Cricetulus griseus: one gene and its partner. Each later gene encodes a partner of the first gene's protein in a complex. Links are inferred from orthologs where the notes say so. Each region holds a gene or a part of one and is shown in the gene's direction. Other genes may lie near its edges. The genes, in order: Gigyf1 and Tnrc6c.

Evidence for each region.
Region 2: the proteins of Gigyf1 (region 1) and Tnrc6c are in contact, whole or in part, in a crystal structure (PDB 7RUQ), measured with the Homo sapiens proteins. The link is inferred for Cricetulus griseus from reciprocal best matches to the Homo sapiens genes GIGYF1 and TNRC6C. Residues at the interface, in NP_001362694.1 of Homo sapiens: Tyr479, Asp481, Pro482, Gln487, Phe490, Trp498, Tyr503, Phe504, Leu508; in NP_001136112.2 of Homo sapiens: Arg1719, Pro1720, Pro1721, Pro1722, Gly1723, Leu1724, Thr1725.

The regions. Positions count from the first base shown.
Region 1 is NC_048597.1:116,436,862-116,451,770, forward strand, and holds Gigyf1 (GRB10-interacting GYF protein 1), read left to right. Parts: upstream 1-6,060; 5' UTR 6,061-6,475; intron 6,476-7,362; 5' UTR 7,363-7,506; intron 7,507-7,586; 5' UTR 7,587-7,652; intron 7,653-7,774; 5' UTR 7,775-7,849; coding exon 7,850-7,884; intron 7,885-7,983; coding exon 7,984-8,113; intron 8,114-8,193; coding exon 8,194-8,289; intron 8,290-8,414; coding exon 8,415-8,526; intron 8,527-8,651; coding exon 8,652-8,760; intron 8,761-8,997; coding exon 8,998-9,038; intron 9,039-9,164; coding exon 9,165-9,329; intron 9,330-9,536; coding exon 9,537-9,790; intron 9,791-9,874; coding exon 9,875-9,983; intron 9,984-10,655; coding exon 10,656-10,790; intron 10,791-10,934; coding exon 10,935-11,035; intron 11,036-11,176; coding exon 11,177-11,348; intron 11,349-11,445; coding exon 11,446-11,612; intron 11,613-11,753; coding exon 11,754-11,854; intron 11,855-11,933; coding exon 11,934-12,053; intron 12,054-12,228; coding exon 12,229-12,329; intron 12,330-12,468; and 17 more. UniProt on the Homo sapiens protein: May act cooperatively with GRB10 to regulate tyrosine kinase receptor signaling. May increase IGF1 receptor phosphorylation under IGF1 stimulation as well as phosphorylation of IRS1 and SHC1.
Region 2 is NC_048600.1:130,236,347-130,251,072, forward strand, and holds the start of Tnrc6c (trinucleotide repeat-containing gene 6C protein), read left to right. Parts: upstream 1-6,460; 5' UTR 6,461-8,252; coding exon 8,253-8,315; intron 8,316-9,936; coding exon 9,937-9,958; intron 9,959-14,726. UniProt on the Homo sapiens protein: Plays a role in RNA-mediated gene silencing by micro-RNAs (miRNAs). Required for miRNA-dependent translational repression of complementary mRNAs by argonaute family proteins.

The DNA.
Region 1 (14,909 bases):
GTGTCGCCCGCTCGCCCTCCGGAGCGGCCCCGGCGGCCGCGGCTCGGGCTCCCGCTCCGGCTGGGGCGGGCGGGGTGGGGGCTGCCGCCCCTCTGGGCGGGAGGACGGGAGGGAGAGGGGACCGGGGCGGTCCGCGCGCGCCCCGCGCACCTGGCGCCCCTCCCTGAAGGGCACGCCGTCCTCCCGGCCCGCGCTTTCCCGCACCCCCGTGCGCAGCCCTAAGTAACGGTCGCGTCCCCGGGGTCCCCTCCGGGCTCCCCACCGAAATGTCCCGCCCGGGGACCGGGCCTCCGCCGGCCGTGCGGCGCGCGCGCCCAGACCTCCCCTTTTGGCGGTGTCCCCTCTCCCCCCCTCCATGCCCAGCCCGGTTCTGGGAGCCGAACCGGGCGGGCCTGGCGGGGCTCTCTGGTCCAGGCGTTCTAGCACTTCGGCCAACATGGAAGCTTTATTCTGCCCGAGCGCCGCGTCTCGGGTCGTCACCTCGGTTTCTTGCGTTTTAAGCGGCCACCTAAGTGCTTGGTCATCGAGGTCCCTCTTCTCATCTCAGTTGTCCGGCCGCGGGAGACACCTGTCTGTCTGAGCTGGGGCTGCTGGGCTTCCCTGACACTAGACCAGGCTCTTCTCAGTCTATATGTTCCCGCTAGATGGGACAGCTGCAGGTCACTGTTACTCACAGTTTGCTTAGAATTCTTTCTCTTAATTTTTTTTCAAGTTGAAAGACCCTTCTGTGTCCCCTTTTAGACCCAATAGTTACTACAGTTCCCAAACAGCTTGCAAGTGCTGTGCCTGGGAGATGCTAAATAAATACTTGGTGGCCTCGGCCCTACTCCCTTCTCACTGCTCAAAAGTGCTGCTACCCTTCAGCAAAAGCCCCTTCCCAGCAGCAGCCATGGCCCCTCCAAGCTGGCACACCACTCTCTCCTGACACTCGCAGCCCATCTAGACCAGTGTCTGGTTTGCGCTGGCACCTACCCATCCAACTGTTCCCCTTGCAGCCCCAGGCCAGCTACCCTTCCTCCCAGCTCAACTTGTGTGTCATAGGTGGGACACCGGTATCCCGAATTGGGGGAGGATTTGAGGAAGTTGGCTTATGCTTTCTCTCCGTTGACTGTGTGGGCCCCGGTTCTTGAGTGTCCCACTTGGGGATTTTAGTAAAATTTTAAAGTCTGTTCACCTTTGTTGACTAGCTTTGTCACCTAATGATTACAAAGTAGTGGTTTGTGGAGATAGTGAATAAGAGACCCCAAGTTAACCCTAGCCTTGTATGTCTCTTTTGGGCATTTAGGGTAGGAAAACAGCCCAATGGTGAGAGGGCCTAGTAGGTCAAGGCACTTGGTTTGCAAGCCTATTGACTAAGAACCTACTTCTGCCCCCATGTGTGCCCCTCTGCCACATCATACACTAGTGATAAAAGAGAGGAAAAAGAAAGACAGCTCAGCTTTCGGTAAGAAAGGTGACGCAAAAGTTTGAGCAAAGGACGCTGGTGGCTGAAGCTCTTGAGGTTGGGTCTCCAGAGCCACATAAACACCCATGGAGGCTCACCTGTCATCCCAGCCATCCCAGGAAGGCAGAATCCCCCTTGCAAGAGGGCTAGCTAGACTAGCCAAAACAGCATATTCTGCCTCAGCAAGAGACCTGCCTCAGTAAGTATGTTGGAGAGCAACTGAAGATACTAGGCATCACCCTCAAGCCTCTACATTCATGCACACATGTGCATCCACATGTGAATTTGAATACATAACACTGACACTGTACACACATGCAAAACATGAAAGCCTCAGAAAAATCTTGGTTTGGAAGCCTGTGCAGATCATGGGAACATTCAAGAAGCAGGAGGGCTGCTTTAAGTTTGAGGCAAACCTCAGCTACAGCATGAGACCTTGTCTCAGCAAGCATCATTAGCCCAAAGTCTAAGAAGGAATTAAAAAGGGCCTCAGGCTCACATAGGAAGCCCGCACATTCAGGATGCTCTGTCAGTCTTGGCTGGATGGTGAGGGTGTCAGGGTCCCCTGGCAGAGAAGCTGTAACTTTATTTTCTATGTAGTAGAGTCCCCTGCCTAGGCTAGCTGGCAGCAGGGATCAAATGAGGTAAAGCGTGAAAATGCTTTGAAAACTGTGAAGTAATTCACAATTGCCAAGTGCTGGGGTTATTTGTCACTGTGGTGCAGAGTAGAGCAGGGGTAACTGCTGCCCTAGGGCTGATGGGGTCCTGTAGTCCTTCCTCCTCCACTATACATGGAGGGAGAATACTTAGACACAGTGTCTCTCCATCCATCCATCTTGGGAAAGTTGTCTTCAACAGGCTAAGTGGTTGGGCAGTTGCTCAAGTTTAGGATATTTGGGGTTTTGACTCTGTTAACAGTGGTACAGGATGGTGCCAAGTTACATTACTTTAGATTGGAACAAAGTTTAGGGGTGACAGAGTAAGGAAAGCATTGTCCCTAATTGTGTTCAGCTTGTGTTTAGAGTTCTTGGCATAAGAGGAGCAGCCCAGGTCCCTCAAGGAAGCTGCGAGCTCCAGCTCCAGCCTATGTCTCCAGCAGGGGCCACTCTTTTAGTATCAAGAGAGCACAGGTGCTGGGGGAGATGAAGTAGGCTGTGGGGAGGGGGCTTTGTGAGGCAGAGCCTGAGGGCAAACTGGAGTTGGCCTGGGAGAAAAAGACCTTCACTGAGGCATCAGTAGAAGGTGAGGTGGGGAAAGGTGTGGTCCCCACCCTGCTGCTCTCCTGCTTGCTTTCTTTCTTTTTTTTTTTTTTGTTTTTTGTTTTTTGTTTTTTGTTTTTTGGGACAGGGTTTCTTGGTGGCTTTGGAGCCTGTCCTGGAACTTGCTCTGTAGACCAGGCTGGTCGCTGCCTCCCGAGTGGTGGGATTAAAGGCTTGCTCCACCACTGCCCATGGGCTTCTTTATTAGAAAGGGGTGTGGGTGCTTAGCTTTGAGGAATTGACAAACTTATGGTTTGATTTTTTTTTTTCTCATTTTTAAAAGAGTGTGTGTGCGTGCACATGCATGTACGCAAGTAATGTCTCGTGGTGTGTATGGGGGTCAGGGGACAGCTTGGAGGAGTAGGTGCTCTCCTTCCACCGTGAGCATTAAATTCAGGTCATCAGACTTGGCCACAAGCTCCTTAACCATTTCTCCGGCCTGATGCTGTTGCTTTTCAACCTGTTCTCTTCTCCAGGCCTTGCCCCCTGGAAGGACCTGGGGCTTTTCTCATGCGACTGCGTCATGAGGGAAGCCTTTTCTTGCTGTTGAGGGGCAAGGGAGCCCGCAGGCTTCTCTAAGGCTCCAGTGTCTCCACTGAGGCTCATGGGTAGAGGCCACCTGTCTCTACCTGGATACATGCTAGATGACAGGCCTGCACCGTCTGCGTTGTTGGGGATTGAACCCAAGGCCTTGTGCATGCTAGACAAGCATTCTGCCAACTGAGCCACATACCTCTTTGTTCTGGGTTGTCCTGTGGCTTGTAAGGTGGTCCATAGCATCCTGGTCTCTACCTGCTAGAATCCAGTAGCACCCTTCTGTCCAGCTGTGATGGCCTCAGTGTCCGCAGTCATTGTCCATATTCCTCTGGGACGAGTTTCCCTCAGTGGAGAGTACATGGCTTCAGACATCACATAGTGGGCTGCCTGCTGCTTCCTGAGCCCCTTCCGTGCTGCTTAGTCCCTGGCACTTTCTCAGGCTGGTCTGCAGGCCTTGGAGCTTGCACTCCTTCCCCTAGGCCTTCCTTCGCCTCTGCAGTGGCCCTGCTGTATCCACGTTGCCTTTGCTTATTGTTCTTTTTCTTCTCTTTTCCCTTTTTAAATGAACGGTGTCATCATGTCCACCTCCCACCCCACCCTTCGCTTACTTAGTGTGTGTGTGCACACCATAGCATGCATGTGGAGATCTAAGGATAACTTGGAAGAGTGGCTTCTCTCCTTCCATCTTGTAGGTTCTAAGGGATGAAACTCAGGTCATCAGGCTTGGCAGCAAGCACCTTTACCAAGCTGAGCTGACAGCCAGCTTGCCTCTCCTTGGGGCAGCCGCATGAAGGGTAGGAGGATGCAGGAAGGTTAGGGTAGGATACCCCTTGATCTCTCCTACTGGACAACCCTTCCACACTGCCTGCTCCACCAGAAGGATTGAGAAGGCCCCAGATTGTCACTTTGGAGATTGTTTGAAGGAGTATAGGGTTCTTAGTTTGGAATGGGGAAAGTGTTTAGCCCCCACAATGGCTTTTCCCCCTAAAGCTTTGTGTATGAGCACGTGCAGATCATTCTCTTTTGCTGTCTGCCTTACTGCTTTTTTAGCCTTTGTGTATATGCATGTGTGAGTGTGTACACACATGGAGGTCAGAGGATACCTCAGATGTTGGTCCTTCCACCTTATTGGAGACAAGGTGTCTTGCTGAAGGCATCATTCCTGAGGTTGACTGGTTCATGAGCTCCCAGGGGTCCTCCTTTCTCCACCTCCCATCTCCCTGTAGGGACACTATACATCTGTCTTTGCATGGGTTCTGGGGATTAGAACTCAGGTCCTCATGCATGTACAGCAAGCACTTTACCCACTGAGCCATCTCTCCAGCCCTCTACTTAACAGCAATAAAAACAGGTTTTGGATGGCTAGCTAGTCTCAGGGATACTCCTCTTTCTACCTCCCTAGTGCTAGGGTTGTGCTTGGCTTTTATGTGAGTGTTGGGGCTTGACTGAGCCATCTTCCCTGCCCTACAAATTTTTTTTTTTTTTTTGGTTTTTCGAGACAGGGTTTCTCTGTGAGCTTTGGAGCCTATCCTGGCACTTGCTCTGGAGACCAGGCTGGCCTCGAACTCACAGAGATCCGCCTGCCTCTGCCTCCCAAGTGCTGGGATTAAAGCCGTGCACCACCAACGCCTGTCTTTTTTTTTTTTTTTTTTGACAAAATATTTTTTTAAAAAATAAATACTGAGGGTGGTAGCCTAGGGTTTATGCATGCTAAGCATATCCTAAGCCACCAACCTCACTAAAGCTTTCTTAAAATGATTGTTGAGGGCTGCAGAGACGACCCTTTGGAGAGGCCCTGAGTGTGATTCCCAGCAGCCATGTCAGGTGACATAGGGAGCCAACACCTTCTAGATTCTGGACACCTACATTCCAGGGCATACACCGTCCTTCCCCCCACCATACACACATACACATAATTAAGAAATAAAAATTGAATGATGGGTGTAAGCCAGGTATGGTGGTGCATGCTTACAATCCCAGCACTCAGGAGGTTGAGGCAAAAGTGTGCAGTTCTGTGGGGTTAATGTCAATACATTTTCAGGGTTGTGCTGCCATCACCTGTCACCACTGATGTCTCCACACCCCTCCCCTGTACCCAGCTGAAATCCTGGACCCATTCATCATTTGGCAGTAGTTCTGTCCCAACCCCAGGTCTTTGTGTTTGACCTGCCCCCAACCCCTGGATCCTCTGTAAGAAAGATCCTACAGAGGTTTTATCTTTCTTGTGTGTGGTGGTTTTTTGTTTTGTTTTGTTTTTTTGTTTTTTGTTTTTTTGTTTTTTGTTTTTTGTTTTCCTTCAGTGCTGGGAACCGAATTCAAGTCCTTTAGATGAACCTCAAGCACTGTAAACCACTGAGTGTCTGTCTCCAGCCCCAAGTCTGTCTTTTGGCAGTACTGGTGGTTGAAGACAGGGCCTTGTGCATGCTAGACAGTTGTTTAACCACTGAGCAACACCGCCAGCCCCTCTTAGTGTTGTTTGTTTGCTTTTCCTTGTTTGTTTGCTTTTCCTTGGGGTGGGGAGTAGGGGAGCTTGAAAGTCTGATCCTTTTGCACCCACCACCGGGGTGCTAGGATTATAGGTGTATCCTACCACATCTGGTGTATGTGATGCTGAGGTCAAACCCAGTGTGTTCGTGTATGTTCTGCAAGCTCTCTGCCAGCTTAGTGACATCCGAAACCCCAGAGCTTAGCTGTCTGTGCCCGACTTGTTACACTTAGCATCATGTTCTTGGGGTCTGCCTAGTTCCAGATCCCCCAGGGTGGTAGTTAAGAAAGGTGTGGTTGTGGAGGCAAGCCTTCAGAGTATCCTGCAGCACTGGGCTATGGGCCACTTGGGACAGCCCAGGCTCTTGCTGTCTCCAAACAGCCATGTGTAGTCACCCTAGATCCTAGGGTGCTGGGATTCTGGGTCACCCCATTGTCTGGCATGGTGTCTCAGTTGAGCTACAGGGGAGACCCTCTTTCTGAAGCCTCTCTGGTAGAAACCCCCTTCTTCCTTCCTCTAGATCCCTGGCATCCTACAGCGGATGGGGACTGCAGAGGCACACTGGTCCAGCCTCCTGCCCAGCCAGTGATAGAAACCTACACACAACCCCTGGACACTGCCTGCCCTTCCTCCTCTACTCTGCCCTTCCTGGATGAACCATCTCCTGAGAGTCTCCTACCCAGGCTCCTAGAGGAACCTGCCCCTGCTGCCTCATCAGCCTCAGACACTGAACTTGCCTCTTCCCATATGGTGAGGTGCCAGCAACTATCTGAGAACCCTGGTCCCACCTTCACCTTTTTTCTGAGAGAGAGTTCTTGATGTAGGGGAAGGAATTTAGGGCTTGGCTCCCATAGATGAGCCTGGGGTGTTGTGGACACGCACGCGCACGCGCACGCGCAATCTAACACTGTTGTGAATGCTCTGGCAGCACTTTTTTTTTTTTTTTTGGTTTGGTTCCTGACCAGATACAGTCCTCTGGTTTTGTTTTTTTGTTTGTTTTTTCTTTAGGGACATCATCTTTGTTACCTTGTTTCAAGATTTACTGTGACACTCTCCAAAATGGACCATTCCTCTATAGAACATCATGGCCCCAGTGCCTTTGTGTTTTATTTTTTGAGTCAGGGCTTCATGTAGCCAAGGCTGACCCTGAACTTCTATGTAGCCAAGAATGACCTGACTCTCCTGCCTCCATCTCCCAAGTTTTTGGTATCCTAGGCATGTGCTACCACACCTTTTCTCTGTGGTACTGGGGACAGAGCCTAGGGCTCATGTGTGATAAATAGCAATCCACCAGCTAAACTAAATCCCCAGTCCATTTGTTGTTTCTGCAGCAAGGTCTTACAATGTGTCCCAGGTTGGCCTTAAACTTGAAATCCTCCTGCCTCTGCCTCCAGAGTGCTGGGATTGCAAGCATGGGCACCACCATGTCTGGTTCTGGTGGCTTACTGACCTGGGTTGTGGTCCTGAAAGTCACCTCCTCGCTATATTCTGTGCTGCAAACCCATGCCAGCACCACTGGCCAGTGATCATGCCTGTACATGTGCCCTGCGTGCTCTGTATCCGCAGCTGTGGGCCAGAGGTTGGGAAGCCATCTGACTCACTGGTGTAACCAACCTCTTCCTTTTCTTCTCCCTAAGGATCTTTCCCAGATGTGAAAGTTCCTCCCTGGCACCACTGAGGCTGTAGACGATAGCTAGTGGCTTGGAGACTCTAGTTAAGCTCAGCCCAGGCCCTGCCAAAAGAGCCGGTGCCTCCTCTACTTCCCAGGGCAGGACTGTCAGGTGAGTGATGAACCACCAGAGGGCGCCCCACTGAGGCAGAAAGGGCTCAAGCTTCCTTGTTCTCTAATTCCTTCCTCTAGGACTGTCCTCTACCCTGACTTGATTTGGGTTAACTCATGGTGTGAGTGGTCTCGTGTCTGGTGTAGGTGAGTTCTTCAGTGCCAAAGTGGCTGACCATCCAGATGAGGCCTGTCACTGGCCCAGTAAAGTGCTGGCCCCATGACTAACCTGCAGATGCTTACCGATGGCCCTGTCTGTGGCCCTACAGGTATTTGGACAGTACAAGGCCTGGTCCTCTCTTCTCTACTAATCCTTGACCTTTGAGAAGCATCTCAGCTCCACGATGGCAGCAGAGACACTCAACTTTGGACCTGAGTGGTGGGTTGCTCAAGCTCTGGCCCATGGGAAGAAGCTAGGGCAGTGGGGATGGGCCACATGGACCTTCGTCTCCCTTTTTCCTTTCTGTGCCTGCTCTAGGCTGAGGGCTCTTTCAGGTGGTGGCAATGTGGCCTCTCCACCCCCATCCCCTGCCATGCCCAAATACAAGCTGGCAGATTACCGCTATGGGCGAGAGGAGATGCTGGCCCTCTATGTCAAGGAGAACAAGGTGAGGTTCCCTTCCCCATTTGCCTTATCAGTGAGTTGCCCCTGAATGTATAATGTATTGGGCCTCCTGTCCCATCACAGGTCCCTGAGGAGCTGCAGGACAAGGAGTTCACTGCAGTGTTACAAGAGGAGCCACTACAACCTTTGGCCCTGGAACCTCTGACTGAGGAGGAGCAGGTGGGGCTGGGCCCAGCCGGGCTGAGGCAAATGGGCCTCGGGTGGAGGAAGGTGAAGCCAGGCTTGAGAGGATGGGGATTGACTGAGTGATATGTCCTCACTCCCCTCCCTGGCTCCCTCCTCAGAGAAACTTCTCCCTGTCAGTGAACAGTGTGGCTGTGCTGAGGCTGATGGGGAAAGGGGCTGGGCCCCCTTTGGCTGCCACCTCCCGTGGCAGGGGCAGCACACGGAGCCGAGGTAGAGGATGACTTCCCATGTTTTTCAGGGGAGGAGATGGGCAGAGTCTGAATGGGTGGTACTAAGGATACAGAGAGAGGGTCACGGGAAGGTCCCAAACCCAGATGTCACCCCTCTTCCTTCAGGCCGTGGCCGTGGTGACAGCTGCTTTTACCAAAGAAGCATTGAGGAAGGCGATGGGGCCTTTGGACGCAATCCCCGGGAGATCCAGCGAAGCCAGAGCTGGGATGACAGGTGTGGTGAAAGATGAGGAAGGCAGGCAGAACAGAGGAGTGGGGGCTGGACTGGCAGTGAGGTGTCTGTAGCAAGAACTAGAAACAGGCCAGCCCTGGCCAGAGCCCTCTGGGTCCTACCCATCCTTTCATTCGTTGGTTTGGGGGTCCTATTGTTTTCTCCCCAGCCTGATTGTCCCCTAGTTCCCTCTGCAGAGGGGATGGTGTATATGTTTTGACCAGCATCTTTCTTCCACAGAGGTGAGAGGCGGTTTGAGAAGTCTGCAAGGAGGGATGGAGGTATGAGAGCATTGCGTGTGTGGCCAGTAGGGTAGGGAGGCGATTGAGATGGGCTCCCAGGTGGAGGGGGGGCAGAACCCTGTCACAGGGTTCTTTGGTGCTCATTGTCTGTCTCCCCCATGCCAGCACGGTCTGGGTTTGAGGAGGGGGGGGCCGGCCCGAGGAAGGAGCATGCGCGCTCTGACAGTGAGAATTGGCGCTCACTACGAGAGGAGCAAGAGGAGGATGGCAGCTGGAGACTCGGGGCAGGACCCCGGCGAGATGGTGATCGCTGGCGTTCCACCAGCCCTGGTAAGATGGGGCAAGGTGGAGTTTGAAAATTGCCCCCATGGGGCCGATACTGGGGAAGGGGTGGTCATGCATATGAGGGATGAGGACATCCTGGGGAAGCCATGCTTCTTGGGAAGACCTGGTGAGCTGAAGAAGGCAAATCCTGGTTTGGCTGGACACTCATTTTTGTGTTTTGTTTTGTTTTCCTTCTCTAACTTTCTCTTCCAGATGGTGGTCCCCGCTCTGCTGGCTGGCGGGAGCATGGGGAGCGGAGGCGCAAGTTTGATTTTGATTTACGAGGGGAACGAGGAGCGTGTGGTGAAGAGGACGGGCGACTTGGGGGAGGCAGCTCTCACCTCCGGAGATGCCGGGGGCTCGATGGTTTTGAAGATGACAAGGATGGGCTCCCTGAGTGGTGCCTGGACGATGAAGATGAGGAGATGGGCACTTTTGATGCTTCTGGGGCCTTCCTGCCTCTTAAGGTACCCTCTCAGGGGCCAGTTGGGGTTGATGGAAGCTGTCCCTCAACTCCTCTCCCACTGTCAACTCTGCCCTTTCTCACACAGAAGGGTCCCAAGGAACCTATTCCCGAGGAGCAAGAGCTTGATTTCCAGGGCCTGGAGGAAGAGGAGGAGGAGCCTTCAGAAGGAGTGGATGAAGAGGGGCCTGAGGCAGGTGAGCCCTTAAAACCTTGCAGGGAAGAGCCAAGTCGTCCTCTAACATATGTGCACGTGCATGTGCCAAGCCAATAGTCAGAGATGTGGAGAGAGACCTTTATCAGGTGTGAAGAGAATGACCTTTGGAGTCATGTGGAAAGCCTGCAGGCACCCACCCACACAGCCCTCATCACTTGTAGGACCTAACCAATATCTCACAGAGCAGGGCCGGGAGGCAGTGTGCGCAGTGCAGACAGCTCAGTTCTCTGCATCCATACTTCTTGGTTGGTTAGGGAGTTGACCAAAGTTAGAAAGGATAGACATACCACCCAAGGTCTGGGAACTGGTACACGTTACTTTGTGCTATCTCACTGGCATGGTCTCCCCCTGCTCTCTTATTTTTATTGTATATGTGCCACAGAGTATGTGGGGGGCAGAGGACAATTGTGGGTATAGTGGGTATAGTCCCTGCCGTTCACCTTGTTGGAGGTAGGCTCAGTTGGGCCTACCAGCTTGTGGAGAATCTCCTCTCTCTGCCTCCCACTCCCACTCCCATGTGTGGCTTTTATACAGGTTCTTGGGATTTCAACACTGCTCTTCATGGTTGTGAAACAAACACTTACGCATTGAGCCGACTCCTTAGCCTCAGCCTCTTCAGTTTTGAGTTCAAGTAGTCATGTGTTCCTTCCAGGTGGGAAGGAGGTGACGCCATTACCTCCTCCAGAAAAGTCCAGCTCCCCATCTCCACTGCCTGCCTTGGGCCCTCTCTGGACAACGAACGAGGATGGTGATGAAGTAGTGGAGAAAGAGCCTCCACCGGCTGAAGGTAGACTGGCAAGAGCTGATGGAAAAGGGAGTGCTGGGTGTGGATACAGAATTGGAGTTGTGGCAAGAGCCATTTTCCTAGCAGGCACAAGAGCCATCCTGTCCCTTCCTCGGCCCCTCCCCATTTTCCCATCTCTTCTCCCAGGAGATGAGATGAGGGGACTGTCTCTGAGTCCTGGAGTTGGCTCACCTCCTGGCCCACCTGGAGATCTGGAAGATGAAGAAGGCCTGAAGCACCTGCAGCAGGTTTGGGGGGGTGCCTGTGCATGCTCAAGGGGCCTCCACTCTGGGGTTGCAGAGACCTTTGTCCCACGTGTCCTAGATCTGTCTGACATGGCCCTTGTGGTATCAGTCCTCTCAGACTTGCCTCTCTCTCTGGACTCCCAGGAGGCAGAGAAGCTGGTGGCCTCCCTGCAGGACAGCTCCCTGGAGGAGGAGCAATTCACGGCCGCCATGCAGACACAGGGCCTTCGCCACTCCACAGCCGCCACTGCCCTTCCCCTCAGCCATGGCGCTGCCCGAAAGTGGTTCTACAAGGACCCACAGGGGGAAATCCAAGGTAGCTGTGGGTAGCAGACTGCTGGGAGTTGATTTGCTCCGTGTGCTCTCTGACGTGCCATGGCCACCTCCTAACCCCTCTCACACCCTTGTTCCAGGCCCTTTCACGACCCAGGAGATGGCTGAGTGGTTCCAGGCAGGCTACTTTTCCATGTCACTCCTAGTGAAGAGGGGCTGCGATGAGGGTTTTCAGCCTCTGGGAGAGGTGATCAAGATGTGGGGCCGTGTGCCCTTTGCCCCCGGGCCCTCGCCGCCCCCACTGCTGGTGAGCACTGTCTGCTCTGCAGGTTGCAGGGAAGGCAACCAGTGGGGCAGCAGCAGGACCTCAGGCACTACCTCACTGCCTCACTTGCTGGGCATGCTCCTGCTGGGCACACTCACACGGGCATGCTCTGACCTCCCGCAGGGAAACATGGATCAGGAGCGGCTGAAGAAGCAGCAGGAGCTGGCTGCCGCAGCCCTGTACCAGCAGCTGCAGCACCAGCACTTTCTGCAGCTGGTCGGCAGGTATGGGGACTTCAGGGCTTGGTGTGGGCAGGGCAGTGGTTGTACGTGGTAATACCGTCTGAGCCCAGTATGTCTGTAGCCGCCAGCTCCCGCAGTGTACGACGCTCCGGGAAAAGGCAGCTATGGGGGACCTGACGCCGCCGCAGCAGCAGCAGCTCACTGCGTTCCTGCAGCAGCTCCAGGCTCTCAAAACCCCCAGGTCTGTTGTACTAAGTGTGTGAGTGTGGGGGGGTGTCTGTGTGAGTGTTGGGGTGAGTGTGGGAGGGTTTGTCTGTGTGTGGGAGGGGGTGTGTGTGTGATGGTGTGAGGTAGAGAAGGAGGAGGTCAAGCTACAGGTAATGCAGTGTCCTGAGGGCCAGTTGTTTGCTTCTAAGGGGTGGCGACCAGAACCTGCTCCCGACGATGAGCCGGTCCTTGTCGGTGCCAGATTCGGGCCCCCTCTGGGACTTACATACCTCAGCTTCATCACAGTCAGGTGAGTGGCCAACCTGCCCCATGCCACACCCTGGTCCCCTTTACCCCCCAGTCTCTGCTTGTCACACTTGGTGGCTCTGCCTCCTATCTGCGGGTGGTTCTGCTGGGTCTGGGTCTCTGCAGCTGCCTTTCTTCTGCAGGTGGTGAAGCCAGTCTTTGGGACATACCAATTAACTCTTCGACTCAGGGTCCAATTCTAGAACAACTCCAGCTGCAACATAAAGTAAGTAGCCTGCTGGCCTGGCGCAGGCCAGCTGAAGCAGGCGCAGCCTCCCAGCTAACGAATGTCCTTGTCACTGCAGTTTCAAGAGCGCAGAGAAGTGGAGCTCAGGGCAAAGCGGGAGGAAGAGGAGCGCAAACGCCTTTGCCGTGAGGAAAAGCGCCGCCAGCAGCAGCAGCAGCAGCAGGAGGAGCAAAAGCGGCGGCAGGAAGAGGAAGAGCTCTTCCGGCGCAAGCAGGTACAAGTCCCACCTGTCTCCTGGACCTGGCCTGTGCCTGGTGCCAGACAGCCACCAACATCCACTGTGCCTCACCCAGGTGCGACAGCAGGAACTGCTGCTGAAGCTGCTACAGCAGCAGCAAGCAACAAGTGTCCCTGTGCCCCCTGCGCCAAGCTCCCCTCCCCCACTCTGGGCCGGCCTAGCCAAGCAGGGCCTATCCATGAAGACTCTGCTGGAGCTGCAGATGGAAAGTGAGCGGCAGCTCCACAAGCAGCCTGCACCCCGGGAGCCTCTGAGGGCCCAGGCCCCCAACCACCGAGTGGTAAGCAGCAGCGGCCGGAACCACACCAGTGAAGCTTCCAGGAGCACTCAGGGAGGTGGGGGGGTGGGGGGGTGTCCCTAAGCGTAGACTCTAAAGCTGAAGACCTGGTTCTTTCCATTATTGGAAGGATGTCCTCTCTCTCTAGTCGTTAGCTCATCCCCTTCCCTTAGCCCCCAAAAGAGCCTCCCTGCCTAGGTGTTCAGGGCTCATTTTCGAGCCCCTGACTTCCTGCCATTTGCAGCAGCTTGGGGGCTTGGGCACTGCCCCTCTGAACCAGTGGGTGTCTGAGGCTGGGCCACTGTGGGGCGGGCCAGACAAGAGTGGGGGCAGCAGCAGTGGCAGTCTGGGACTCTGGGAAGACACCGTCAAGAGTGGCGGGAACCTGGCCCGGAACCTGGGCCTAAAGAACAGTCGGAGCAGCCCGTCTCTCAGGTGGGTGAGACCTTTTTAGCTGGGGTCTGCCAGGGAGGGATGGGTGCTAAGCTCCTGGGCTCATCTGTGGCCTCCAATTCCCCACCCTCCTCAGTGACTCATACAGCCACCTGTCAGGTCGACCTGTTCGCAAAAAGACAGAAGAGGAAGAGAAGTTGCTGAAGCTGCTGCAGGGCATCCCTCGGCCCCAGGATGGCTTTACCCAGTGGTGTGAGCAGATGCTACACACCCTGAGCACCACAGGCAGCCTGGATGGTAGGAAGGCAGTCCTTGTGGGTCATGTTTGCACTGGGGACTCTAGACCTGTCCAGCATGTTTGACTGTCCCTCCCCATAGTGCCCATGGCTGTAGCGATCCTCAAGGAGGTGGAGTCCCCCTATGATGTCCATGATTATATCCGTTCCTGCCTGGGGGACACGCTGGAAGCCAAAGAATTTGCCAAACAATTCCTGGAGCGGAGGGCCAAGCAGAAAGCCAGCCAACAGAGGCAGCAGCAGCAGCAGGTAGAGTCTTGTGGGACCTAGGGAGGCAAGGCACCAGGGCTCTCCTGACTCCACTCTTTTGCCTTAGGAGGCCTGGCTGAGTAGCACCTCCCTACAGACAGCCTTTCAGGCCAACCACAGCACCAAACTGGGCCCTGGGGAGGGCAGCAAGGCCAAGAGGAGGGCACTGATGCTTCACTCAGACCCCAGCATCTTGGGTAAGTAGAGGGTGCTGGGGAGCCCTGCTTTCCCTGCACAGGCTGCACAGGACCTAGTGAGCTCACCCTCACTTCTCCCCTGGCTTCAGGGTACTCCCTGCATGGCCCTTCCGGTGAGATCGAGAGCGTGGATGACTACTGACCAGCCTGTCCCATCAGCCCCCGAGCTGGAGGCTTGGGAGGCTAGGGAGGCGGCGGCAGCATGGACCCTTGGGTCTCCAGCCTGCGGGCTCCCAACAAGGAGCAAAGGAGGAAGCAAGTGGGGCATGGTCCCCGGCACTTGTTACAGACCACACGATGCACCTTAACTCACCCACCACGAGGCACTTTACACACGGGGAGGGGCTTTCTTTTTTTCTCTTTCATTTTCAACGTTAGGAGAGACAAAAGTATCATTCAAAAACTAGACTGTAGGCCCCTTCACCCCTTTGGGGATAATGGGTGCGACATTGGAAGGTCCACAGAGGCTTTATTTTGGTTTGGGTTTTTTTTTTGTTTGGGTTTTTTTGTTTTGTTTTGTTTTTTTTGGTTAAGATGAAAAATAATGGGGGGGGGGAACCACACTGTTATTTTGGGGCAGTGGGTACCATGCCCTATGGAACTGCCCTGCCTGGCTCCCCTTAAGGCTGCACTTACCCTGCTGCTGCCCCCCAGAAGGTGGTCATTGGGGTGACTGGAAGATGGGTG
Region 2 (14,726 bases), on another chromosome or scaffold:
TTGACTGATCTTTCTAAGATAAGAGTCGACCATGAAGTAAATCCATTCATTCACACAGAGCTCCTTGGTTTAGAAGGGAACTGTGATTTTGTAGGAAACAGACAGCTTTCCTGTCTGCAGCTGGAGAAGAACAGGTTTTACATCTGCAAAGTGATGTCAAGGTGTTGTGGGAACGAAGCATTCAAGAAAGTAGACAGTTAACCTAATTTTTTTTCCCCTGAGACAGGGTTTCTCTGTGTAGCTTGGAGTCTGTCCTGGATCTCGCTGTGTAGACCAGGCTGGTCTCGAACTCACAGAGATCCACCTGCCTCTGCCTCCCAAGTGCTGGGATTAAAGGCGTGCACCACCACCACCACCACCACCACCACCACCACCACCCAGCTCTAAATTTTTAAGTATCCATAGATTTGGAGGACCTAGGAAAGCCAAACGCACATGTGTGCACACATATGCACACACGCAGTCAAAATGGTAGAAAATAACTTCTTGGGGGTTCAAAACAGGGTTTCTTTGTGTAACTAACTGGCTTTGTAGACCAGGCTGGCCTCAGATTCACAGTCTGCCTCCCAAGTGCTGGGATTAATGGTATGGGCCACCACCTCCTGTATTAGAAAATAACTTTTTAAAAAAGAAAATTACACATGGTTAATCCAACGGACCAGGGGTTTAGTATGGTCTTTAGAAAACTGAAGGGAGGGTGGGCATTGTGGTGTATGCTTGTATCCCCAGCATGTCGGAGGCTGAGTGAGAATAATGGCAAGATTGATGCCAGCTTGAATTATACATTGAGATCCATTCTTAAAAAAAGGAAGAAGAGAACCAAATGAAGATACTTTCAGTAAGCCAGCACACAGCATGGTAGTTCATGCCTGTAATTCCAGCACTGGAGATGCTGAGACAGGAAGACAAGTCCCAGGCCAGCCGAAGCTATGAACAAGACCTTATCTCAGTAGCCATGGTCTGGCCACACAGCGTGGCTATTGGGTACTTGCTTAGCATGCCAGGACCTGGATTTTGTTTGTTTGTTCTGGTTTTTGTTTTTTTGAGACAATAATGCAATTCTGGTTGTCTTGGAACTTACTATGTATACCAAGCTGGCTTTGAACTCACAGAGATCCCTCTGCCCCACCCCTGCCCCTGCCCCTGCCGGGATTAAAGATGTGCACTACTATTCCTGGTTTAGGACTAGATTCTTACCTGCAGCACTAGACAGACAGACAGACAGACACAGACACACACACACACACACACACACACACACACAGACACACATACACACACACACAGACACAGACACACACACACAGACACACACACACACACACACACACACACACACACACACACACACGAAACAAAGCGCTGAAAACAGATTTACCTGGCTTGAAAACATCCATCTTTCACGCTAAGTGTGAATAGTGAGCACAGAAATCACTGAAGACGCACATTCAGGGAGTTTCAGAGCTCAAGTGTAAGAGAAACATTTGTATCTGCAGAAAAAAACATATGACCTAAAAAGGATTTTATATTCAGTGGCATGGTCCTTCTGACTCAGGCTATGTGCTGAGATGCAGGAGCATCGTGCCTTCAAATCAATTCTCAAACTGATATATGAGACCCACCAGGCCCAGTCTAACAAAAAATGAAGCTTGCAGTTTCTAGAGATTCACTTCTACATACCCTTTTATTCTTACTCTTTTTTTTTTAAATTTCCCTTTATTTTTATGTGTATAGGTGTTTTGCCTGTACGTATGTCCATGCACCATGTGCATACAGTAAGCACAGAGGCCAGCACAAGGTGTCAGATTCTCTGGGATTGGAGTTACAGGCAGTTATGAGTTAGTCTGGGAATCAAACCTGGGTCATTGCAAGAACAGCCAGTGCTCTTAACTGCTGAGCCGTCTCTCCAGTCCCTTTTCTCCCCACACCCCTCCTGAGACAGGGTCCCACTGTGTAGCTCTGGCTGTCGTGAAACTCTCTATAAACCAGGCTGGCCTGGAGCTCCCAGAGAACTGCCTGCCTCTGCCTCCCAAGTGCTGGGATTAAAGGGGTGCGCCACCATCCTGGCTTACATGCACCTTTTCTTTTTTTGTTGTTTTGTTTTGTTTTTTGAGACAGGGTTTCTCTGTGGCTTTGGAGGCTGTCCTGGAACTAGCTCTTGTAGACCAGGCTGGTCTCGAACTCACAGAGATCCACCTGCCTCTGCCTCCTGAGTGCTGGGATTAAAGGCGAGCGCCACCAATGCCCGGTGGCAACATGCACCTTTTCTTAAAGAGACACTTTTATTTTACAGCAAGATAGGCAAGCAGTTATACAAGGGCAAATCATGGAATGACTGAATTAAAACATTGAAATGAACCCCACTGGATAGGTAAGGATGTTAGTGGTTCCCTGTGCTGGGTCTGTGTCCTGACTTCCTGCCCTGTCAGTTTGAGTCAGATCAAAATGAGTGATTCATGGGCTCAAGACAGAGTTTAGCTTCTAAGGGCACTTGTTCTTGGAGAGGACCTGGGCTCAGTTCCCAGCACCACATGGTGGCTCACAAGTATCTGTAACTGCAGTTGCAGAGGATCGGATGCGCCTCTTCTGACCTCTACTAGCTCATGCATGCACACAGCACACATTCATGCATGCACACAGCACACATTCATGCATGCACACAGCACACATTCATGCATGCACACAGCACACATTCATACATGCCAACAGCACACATTCATACCTGCACACAGCACACATTCATACCTGCACACAGCACACATTCATACCTGCACACAGCACACATTCATACCTGCACACAGCACACATTCATACCTGCACACAGCACACATTCATACCTGCACACAGCACACATTCATGCATGCACACAGCACACATTCATACCTGCACACAGCACACATTCATACCTGCACACAGCACACATTCATGCATGCACACAGCACACATTCATACCTGCACACAGCACACATTCATGCCTGCACACAGCACAAATTCACACACGCAAGCAAGACACTCACACAGAGTAAATGTGAAGTTGAATGTAAAAAGGTAGCTAGTGCGATACTGGAAACATGTGTGTGAATGCCAGCAGCCTGGGAGAGCGCACTCGGCATTGCTGAGACCACAGGAGGGTTAGCGTGAGTGAGCGAGTGAGCGAGCGAGTGAGTGAGTGAGTGAGCGAGCGAGTGAGTGAGTGAGTGAGCGAGTGAGTGAGTGAGTGAGTGAGTATGGCCAGACTCACAAAGAAGGAAAGTAGAGGCTGGGAGAGGGGAAATGCAGAGTTTGTGTTTTGAAAGGGGAAGCATGCTAATTACATGCCATTGGGGATAATAACACTACTAGTCTATGTCACTTATTTGGAGAGAAAATTAACATGCAAGTCTTTCTACCCTAATGTCATGCATTAGGTTTTTAAAAATTATTTTGAGAGTGTCATACATGAGCCCCGCGTCACTCTCAGGCTTCCTCCCTCCTAACTTCTCCAGTACTCCCTCTTTCTCAAATTTGCAGCCTCATCTTTGTTTTTTTATTTAAAAGATTTACTTATTATGGTATACACTATTCTGCCTGCATGTGTGTCTGCATGCCAGAAGAGGGAACCAGATCTCATTATAGATGGTTGTGAGCCATGTGGTTGCTGGGAATTGAACTCATGACCTCTGGAAGAGCAGCCTGTACTCTTAACCACTGAGCCATCTCTACAGCCCTACAACCTCATCTTTAATTATTATTGTTACATATATATTCGTGTGTGTGTGTGTGTGAGTGTGTGTGTGTGTGTGTGTGTGTGTGTGTGTGTGTGTATACGTGGGAGCTTGTTCATGAAGAAAACTGATTCTCCCTCTCTCTCAGAAGCCGTTGACTACCTGTTAGCCCCTCCTCTAGGGTAGGACCTTACGGAGTTTCCCCTGTCCATGCTGGCATGTCAGCTGGTGTGTTGGTCTTGTTCAGGTTACCATGTTGTTGAGAGTCCATGGGTGCCTTTCCTTGTCATGTAGGCAACACTAGCTGCGTGCACTTGCTCTTCCAATCTGTCTTTCTGCCCCTCTTCCGTGATGTTCCCTGAGCTGAGGAGGGGATGTTGCATTGCCTGATGGAGGTATTTCCATTGGAATTGGGCACTCCAGGGTTAGTTGTTCCCTGCATTTTGGCCAGTTATGTATCATTGTACTAATCTCCATCTTTTGCAAAAAGAAGATTCTTTGATGAGGGGTGAGAGCTGTACTTAACCAGGGTTGATGGATTGCACAGACAGACCTGAGCTATATGTACTTTAAAAGGGAAAAGTGTACCACATACTTTTACAGAAATTTTAGATTTTTAACTGGTGTGCCTGACATGTCAGTTCTTGTGAGGCCTGCTCCCAGATGAATGGAGCTAGATAGGGAGCTCTAGAAATATCAGCACATGGGAGGTAAATGTACCTAAATCATGAGTCGAAGGTCATTCATAGCTACAGAGCCAGTTCAGTGCCAGCCTGGATTCACAAGGTCCTGTTTTTTTGTCTCTGTGTTTTAAAAGGCAGGGTTTTAAACTCTAGGTGAGTAGAGAAGTGTAAAATACAAACAAGTACAAGAAAAATAAAAGAGCAGTGATTAAAAACTCCAAACAGAGGCTGGAGAAATGACTAATCAGTTAAGAGCATTGGCTGCTCTTCTAGGGGACCCAGGTTCAACTCCCAGCACCTACATGACATGACAGCTCACAACTGTCTGTAACTCCAGCTCCAGGGGATCTGACACCTTCACATAGACACACACCCAGGCAAAACATGAGTGCACAGAAAATGAAAACAAATAAATCATTAAAAAAAAACCAAAACCATTAAGACAATCTACAGAGTGAGTTCAAGCCAACCAGGGGGACAACACAGTGGGATAGATTGTGCCTCAGAAGGGGAAAAAGGGTTCTGCAAAAAGTACAAAAGTGCCTTCCATGTGCTACATGGCTACATTCACATATTTGATGAAACAGCAGAGCCAGGCTGTAGGGTAAAATGTTGAAGCCCACTTCTGGGTGTGAAAACTCACCAAAATTTACTGGTTCCTGAGCCTGAAATCCCAGCAATCCCCACTCTGGAAATCTCCACCCTGGAAAAAACACACACACACACACACACACACACACACACACACCCACACACACACACACACACACACACACACACACACACACACACACACCCGGGAAAACACACACACACACACACACACACACACACACACACACACTCCTATGTAAAGCCTGCCTCCTGCTCAGTTCCCCTCTGCCTCTCTTCTGAGCAGAGGTAACCACCCTCTTGTGTCTCTCCCAATAAGTCTCTGAGTTTTGTTGTGTGGCATGACTTTGCAGTATTCCTTGGCTCCTCCATGCGGTCAGGATACCCTTTCCTTCAGAACTCGGGAAGCCTCCCCTCAGAGCTGAAGCACTCACCAAAACCACAGGAATAACGTGCCCCACACTTACTGGGATGGATCATTAAGTAACATAGAAGAAAGGGAATAGTAAGTACATCTCACTTAGTACTTTTAAAAAAGAAGTACATGGGCTGGAGAGATGATGGCTCAGCCGTTTAAAGCTAGGCTCACAACCAAAAATAAAAAGAAGCACATGAAGAATTTTTTGGGTTGGTTCAGTGTTTTTTGTTTGTTTTTATTTTTGTTTTGAGTCTTGGCTCAATTTCAAGATACCCCTGCTTCCTGGGATTTGCAGCTGCACACCACCAACCCACCCAGATTGAACCCAGGGTCATACATGTGCCCGGGCAAGTGCTGTGTCACTGCACTATGCCCTCAGGACGTCCCGCAAAGAGCACTCTTAGGGGTACCCCGAAACTTTGAGCATACATTGATGGCGTCTAAGATGACTCCAGCTGACACACAAGAAAAGAAGGAGTCTTTAGACTTTCACCTTTGTACAGTGTGTGTTTTCCCATGGGCATGTACTACATTACAAAATAGAAACGTCATTATGTGTTCATTTTTTATTACTAAAAAAATAGCAGCTGCACAGTGCAAGTTAGGGGTAGAGGTGGTTGCTGCTGTGGTACTTTGTCATGTAAACATGAGCAGTCAAACAAAGGTCACACCTGGGCTGAAGAGTAGCTGGCCTTTGTTACTTTAGTTTGCAGATGAATAGAATTAAGTCGAAGTCATTTTACTCCTCCTCCTGTTGACTACCTCTGCAGCACAGAGCCCCTACCTGCCCTTTGTTATATTTCCTCTTTGAAGATAATTTAAGGGTCTCAGTGTGCTGTAGATTAAGAAAGCCCGACTGCAGGCAGCCACTGTTGACATGGTTTTTTTTTTTTTCTTCCTAGATGTGTAGCTGAAGCTGTATGGTTGGAGCATACCTGGTTACACTCAGGCCGCCTATACCTAGAATGCTGTGCATATAAATGGCTTAGTACAGTGTATACTTTTTTTTTTTTTTTGAAAACATTTTTTTTTACCGTGAAACATTCCTGGAGAGTTTCTCTGGGATCATGAATAGTCATTTTTCAAAGTTCATAATGTGCATTGAATCTGGAGCCCTCCGGAAGCTGTACGTGTGCCAATGCCAGAGTCCTGTCCACAAAGGTCCCATCCACATGGCTGTAGCAGCCTCGGGTCTGGATGTTTCTAAGCTTCCCAAGTTAATTCTGACTGGAAACCAGAAACTGAGGAGTCATTGTTTTGAAGAAAGAATATTCACAGATATAAATACAAGGCAACATCTACGCATGGGTAGATTTGGGCACGCTATTTCTCATATTTATCTGTTAAATATGCCTGCCCATCTGTATTAATCTTACAGTGGTAACCCTAGCACTCAGGAGACAGGCAGAGGCAGGGGGATCTCTGAGTTTCAGGCCAGCCTGGTCTATATAATGAATTAATTCCTGGCAGGCCAGGGCCAAATAGTGAACCCCTTTCTCAAACAACAACAAGCAATCAACTATAGAAAGTGGTGTGGCCCCTAAACTGGTAGAGTCCCCACAGAGGAGCTGGCTTAGAAGGGAGTCCCCACATGCTGGCACATGCTCTGAGCTGTGGGCAGGTTTGCTGCTGCTGAGCAGCCAGAAGCACTGCCAGGCTGAGTGTATGGATTGGTTATCAGTGCAGCAGGCTGGAGCCCAGTGTTTCTGTCGAGAGGGCCACTAATTGGGAGACCCATGAGAGACAAATGGCTAGTAGCAGGAGGCCTGGGATAAGATGAGTGTTGGGAGTGCTGCTGCATGGGATGCTAGACTACCAGAGCTGCAAGGGTGCCTGTGCTCAGCCTAGGTCTGTAGTCATCAGCAGGGGCGTCATAGCCACATGTTGACCTTACAGTGCCACAGCACCAGGGGTCAGGAGAGCCCCTCATCCTGTTGTACCCTCTAATGAGAACGCTTCCCAGGTCTCTGACTGAATGAAGAAGGGCCAGAGCCTGTCTTGTTGGGAGAGCATGGAGCTGTCAGGCAATTGTTAGTGACCACTTGGGCTATTAGACTCCTCAGCTCCATAGCCCAGTGGCTAGGCTGTTGTGACCTTTTAAAGCAGAGTTCCTCCATGCTGTGTATCTTGTAATAGCTCTTCAGCTGAACAGGGCTCTGTGTAGAGGGATAATCCTTTGGTCAGACAAACATGAAATTAAGTGTACGTGGGATTCGCCTCCAAAAGCCTGGTTTGTGGGGCAGGATAGAAACCACAAATGGACACATGCAGTGATGGTGTGAGACAACACTTGGAAAAGCACTAGTCTGATGGGTTTGTACCTTACTCCATGTCCTTCATACAATGCCCAGTACAAGTCTGGTTCTCCACAAATGTGAAGCAAACAAATGAGATAACTGAGACACTTTATAGTCCTGGGTGAACCTCCATTTCTCATCCTCTCAAAGAGTCTCCATCCTGTGTATGTCTAGCTCAAGACCTTGTGTGCCGATCCTATCCCTGTCCTCTACCCCAGTGTTGAGTGTCAGACCCCAGGGCATCTCACAGACAAGGCAGCCAAACACTCTTACATTCAGCACCCTCCCACACATACAGAGACTGGTCTTGAACTTACCCTGTGGGCCAGTCATGATTCTCCTGCCTCACCTTCCCAAATAGCGAGGATTATAGTCCTGTGCCACCAGTTCTGGTTCTGATTGTTTGTTTTGTTTTGTTTTGTTTTTTTCTTTTTTTTTTTCATTTTTTAATGGGCTTTAAATCAGTCATCATGCTAATACCACTTTTTAAATATTTAATAGGGTAAAAGAACAGGAAACACAAGAAGAGGAACGTTTGATGGAAGAAAAGAAAAAGAAAAAGCAGGAAGACAAGAAAAAGAAGGAAGGTGCTCAGAAAAAGGTTTGCTGCAATTCCTTTCTCCACACCGTCGTAGTCATGTGTGTCACATGTGCCTTAGAATAGCTGTCTCATGACCACGCTTGATTCTGTTTCTGTTTTAAATCAATGTGCTAAATCTGTAATTAGTAAATAATGGGTACTTAGCTAGTAAAGTCAGTTTATTTAGGGTGCCAGCTGCAAAATGTCTTTTTTAAAGAGCCAGACATAGCAAAGTCTTGTTTCCAGGGGCTGTGTAGCTGATGTGCAAGAATGTTCATGCCTTCTTCTGAGAGTGGACTATATCCAGCCCAGAGCAGCCCCCATCTAAAACATCAGGAAGGAGCCATGAAACTGACAGCATAAGAAAAGCTAGAAATATTTTTTGCAGTCTTGGTAAATAGTCTTTATAAATCTTATTTATAAATGTTAAAATAAGTTGTATAAACCAATCTAAAGAGATGACTCAATAGTTAAGCACATTTGCTGCTTTTCCAGGGAACCCAAGTTCAGTCCCAGTTCAACCACCTGTAACTCCAGCTCCAGGGGAGGATTCAACACCCTCTTTTGGTCCCTTTGGGCACCTACACACACACACACACACACACACACACCACACACACTCACACACACACACACACACACACACACACACACACACACACACACACACACACACACACACACACACACACACACCACACACACACACACACACACACACACACACACACACACACACACACACACACACACACACCACACACACACACACACACCACACACACTCACACACACACACACCACACACACACACACACCACACACTCACACACACACACCACACACACTCACACACACACACACACACACACCACACACACACGACAGACACACACACATGACAGACAGACAGACAGACACACACACACACACACACACACACACACACACACCACACACCACACACTTAAAAATCTGGTTTTTAGAATTCTTTAAACCTTATAGTCATACTTCTATTTCATTACATGTAAACCAAATTATACAACCCATCTTTGCTTTCACCTAAGTAATGTGCCATGTGGTTTGAAGGATCCCTTCTAGACTGTGGCAGATAGGGAGCTCCATAAAAACTTTTTTGCCTGTAACTTAACACTGTCATGTAATCATGGCATGTAGAGAAATACTGATTTTTCTCAGTAGTAAATTACCTGGTTTGCTTTTAAAATTTCAAGAATTAAGTCTTAATCCAAGACTTTTGGACTTGGGAGACAGAAGCAGGCAGATCTGTCTGAGTTTGAGGCAAGCCTGATCTACACAGTGAGTTCCAGGATAGTCAAGGCTCCATGTCTTAAAGAAACTAAAAGAGCAAAACCTAAACCAATTAAAATCTGCTTATAAGCCAGGCGTTGATGGCGTACGCCTTTAATCCCAGCACTCGGGAGGCAGAGGCAGGTGGATCTCCGTGAGTTCGAGATCAGCCTGGTCTACAAGAGCTAATTCTAGGACAGCCTCCAAAGCCACAGAGAAACCCTGTCTCGAAAACCCAAAAAAAAAAAAAAAAAAAAAATCTGCTTATAAACTTTCATCAATGTGTACATTCCACACAACCGTTTGTAAAGCATTTCTGATTTTTGTTTTTCAGGCTGCTGATCAAAAAACCAAAGGTAAGTTGTTTATTTGTTTTTAATATACATTTTGGGAGGGGCATACTTTTTATAGCGGTATCCAACTTTGCAATGAGGTGACTTTTGTAAAATTTATTTTATGTTTATAGATATTTTCACCTGCATGTGTGTCTGTGCACCAAGTGTGTGCAGTGCCCACACAGCCCAGAAGAGGGCCTTGGAGCCTCTATAACTGGAATTAAGATGGTTGTGAGCCACCATGTGGGTGTTGGGAATTGAACCCAGGTCCTCTGCAAGATCATCAAGTGCTGTTAAACCCTGAACCCCAGAAGGTGACATTAAAACAAAGGATCTAAGTCTGTCTTTGACTGTACATTTATTATACATTGTGAAGCTCTTCATTTGTGACTGGTTTTATGTATCTACATTTCATTGTCATTAGGTTAATATAAAACTGCCTAGAAAATGTTATCTGTGTTTTAAACAACACTTTAAATTTCCTTTTGCTTTAATTCCCACCAAATAAGGATCGAATTCAGGAAGGTGATTCATTTGGAATAAGACCCAGAGAAGGCTAAATTTTTTTAAAGCTTGAAATTCCTTACTGCCAGCTATTCCCTTGCAGACATCGTCTATTTCTTTCTTAGTGACGGGTAAGAGGCTTCTTTCCAGAGCTTGTTTACCCTTGTCTGTAACAGGGTTGGTCAGGCGTGCTGGGTGTGCTGGAGGCTCAGAGTGAGCCCATGCCCTGCACTTCATACTCGACACAGTAGGGACACATGTGGGTCACAGACCAGCTCTGTTCCCTCCATGACAAGGTCCTTCTTGAAGCTTCAGGTATTGCATCTTTAAAATGAGAAAAGTGATGGATTGTTCTTGCCTTATAAAGTTGTTGTAAAGACAAGTGAGCTCCCACAGGAAAAGAAAGGGACCAATAGCTAGAGTGTAACTGATGTTGAGTAAAGGTTGCTGTACTTCACTGTTACTTAAATCTTTTTGTCTTCCCTTGGACACAGTTGTACTTGTAGGTGCTGGCAATATAAGGGCTTTTACAAGAGTTCTCAGTTGCAGTCTATTCTAGTACTTCACTTCTAGCTGGCATCTGGCAGTTTTCAAGGTTAAAATTACATGTATGATCTTACACTTGAACTTCATAATTGAACAGGACTTGTAAGTTCTTGGTTTTGTAATAGTCCAGGCATAACGGGGGAGCCTGGGCTTCTGCCCTGTGCCTCAGTCCTTGCGCCAGGCTACTAGAGTCATGTCATGAGCTGAGTTAGTTCACTGTTACATGAGTATTAGAAGCAGCAGGGTACAAGGGCCTCTCTGCTCTGTTAGAATCTTTTCAAATGGACCAAAAGGACTGGCTGTGGCTGTGTTTGAGTTTATGATTTCAAATAAAACAGTGGTTCTTACTGTCATCTACAAAAACAGAACTCTTTGTGTATCATTCATCCCCCTTAAACGAGTCACTTTCACAGTTCGTTTCCATTGTCCTTCACTGCTGCGTGGTGCCTGAACAAACTGTGCTGCCCCTTGCCTGGGACTTCTGCTCTGTGTGCCTGTGCTGACAGCACCCGACTGCTTTCCTGTTACCTCTTCTGAGTGGCTGGCTCTGTGGGACACTTTGTCAGTGCCTACAACTGTCCTTTGGGTCTGTCCTAAAACAGTTGTTCATGTCCTTAGAAACAGAACAATCTAAAGTACTTGTGCATAATTTTCTTTTTAATTAATTATTTCTATTTTATATGTATGAGTATATTGCCCGCATGTTTGCATATGTGCCACATGTTTGCCCTGCATTCATGGAAGCCAGAAGAGGGTGCTACATCTCTTGGAATTGGAGAGTGGTTGTGAGCTGCCATGTGGGTGCTGGGAACTAACCCAGGTCCTCCGAAAGAGCAGCCAGTGCTCTTAATCAGCAAGTCATCCCTCCAGTCTAGATTGTTTTCTGATGATTATTAGCAGTGTTGGGTTTACATTTTTCTCAGATTTCCATCATTACTCGGTGCCATCAGAATCAGCTGTTGTGAGGTGACACTTTTGACTAGGCACTGGTGTTAGAAAGGACATGGCCTGATTTGGTGATAACATTTGTGCTCACAGTGTTCTGTTTGTTTCCCCTGTCGTGGCCTGGCAGTACATAGGGCTACATCTCCATGTTCCCTCCTTCCTGCCTAGAGCCCTCAGCTACTGCCTTTGTGCTAGGCCAGTTCTAGGCCCTGGCGTTAGTGACTCTGTTGCTGCTGTTGTCACCAGGGCTAGTAATACAAAGCTACAAAGCAAGGAGAGTCTGTGGAACAGCACAGCAAACCCTTGCCCACCTTCTCCTGTCAGAGCAGCACATGTCGGGAAGGTCGGCAGAGAAGCACAGCAGCTTTCCAGGCAGTGAGGAGGTGGTGTGGGTGTGTTAGGAGTCCCTCCTGTCTAACATAGGCTGGAAAAGAGAATGTGCGATCCCCTGGAGGAAGACTTACTGACAGTTGTGAGCTGCCATGTGGGTGACGGGAATAGAGCCTTGGTCCTCTCTAACCACCAAGCCATCTCTCCAGCACCTGGCTTTTTTTTTTTTTTTTTTTTTTTTTTAAGTCCTGGCTTTTGATTTCTTTGTGGGAGTCTCACGCTTGTTCTAAAGAGCAGGCCAAGTAGGGGAGTTGCAGAAGGAGCACCCTTCCTCTGGCACCCTGCCCGTAGCTTGTACCACAGGAGCCCTGCTTTCTCTGCAGACAGCAGACACTGCTGCTGCTCTCTGGAGCTCTGCTCGGCCTCTGTCCTTACGGCAGCTCTGCATTAATGCCTTTCTGAGTGCAAGGGTTAGCCTTGGCTACCGGACAGAGACCTTGCCTAAAGGGTAGGGGGAGATCCCACTAGCTCAGTTGGTGAAGTGCTTGTTAACCAACACCATGTAAAAAACTGGGTGAAGTGGCATATGCCTGTCCTTCCATCTCCAGGGAGTTGAAGATAGGAAGATGCCTGGGACTCACTGGCCTGGTGTTGCCAATTGGTGAGCTCCAAGTTCACTGAGAGACCCTGTCTCAAAAAATAGGTAAAGACTGATAGAAGGTTGACATCTGATGTCAGTTTCTGGCTTCTCCACACACACACACACACACACACACACACACACACACACACACACACACACACACACACACACACACACACACACACACACACACACACACACACACACACACACACACACACACACACACACACACACACACACACACACACACACACACACACACACACACACACACACACACACACACACACACACACACACACACACACACACACACACACACACACACACACACACACACACACACACACACACACACACACACACACACACACACACACACACACACACACACACACACACACACACACACACACACACACACACACACACACACACACACACACACACACACACACACACACACACACACACACACCACACACACACACACACACACACACACACACACACACACACAGAGTGAAGGAACAAAAAATCCTAAGAGAAACTAATCCATCCAAGCTATTTCCCAGTTACTGTTTAGTAGCCATCCTTTACATCTCATTGTGTATTCATATAAACTCCCAGAATCCAGTACTTTCCACGGTTCATACTCCTCTTAATGCCAAAACACAAAGCCCTTTAAAAACCTTCCTGCCAGCCAGGCAATGGTGGCGCACACCTTTAGTCCCAGCACTCAAGCACTAAAGTCCCAGCACTTTAGTCCCTACTGTCATGAGATCACTAAGGGTATCGTTAGAGCAGAGGTTGGGTGTTTAGCTGCTCTTCTTTAAGTCTCTAATGCAAAGATAATGATGCTGTCTATGAACAGGCTGGCAGGAAGGTCTCCCCTCCCCCCCCATTTCTGTCTCTGTCCCTGTTTCTCTCTGCTCTCTTTCTTTTCTTTCCAAGACAGGGTTTCTCTGTGTCCTGGAACTCGCTCTGTAGACCAGGCTGGCCTCGAACTCACAGAGATCTGCCCACCTCTGCCCTCTGCCCCTTGAGTGCTGGAATTAAAGACATGCACCACCAATGCCTGGCTTAATTTTTTTATGTTCATAAAATAAATAAGTTTTCCTATAAAACATTTGAAGTTAGTTATAGCATCTCTGAAAGCAAGTGCCCCTGATGTTTAGTTATGACGACTGAGTTGAGATCTTGGTGGTGCAGGTGCGGCCCTGACATGTGTCCCCTGTGTGATTGCCAGTTCACAGAGAGCCTTTTCTGCACTTTGTTGTCAATGTAGCCATCTGAGTCACAGGTTACATACAGCTCACCTGAAACACACAAGCTTGTTATCAACGTGAGTGAAGAGTTCTGAGAGCCTGCCTGTCACCCTGACTTTATGGTATAGAGACAAAAAGAAGCAAGAACTCACATTCCACACCCACTGATGGGTGGTACTTCTGAGTAACTGAGGTAGCCATGGCTGTCTGTCCAGTCCTTTGAACACAGTAATCAGCAACTGGTTTTGATAAAACATAAGATCTGGGTTTTCCTGAGCTAAACAGTGAAATAAAATGGACAAAAATCTCAGACCTATACTCATTTTCTCTTAAGAGGATGTGAGCATCTTCTAAAGGCAGAAGCTAACAGACTGTTCGGTAGGCTCAGCAATGTGCATTTTACTTCGTGTGACACTTTATTTGCCCATCTGTGAGTTAACTAAAATCTTGGAGTTGAAGACTCCTTCAGGATTTCCGAGCTCCCATAGTACTGAGTGAGGAAATGCCATCCCAAGGAGTTAAATGGTTTATGACAGCTCATTAGTAGCAG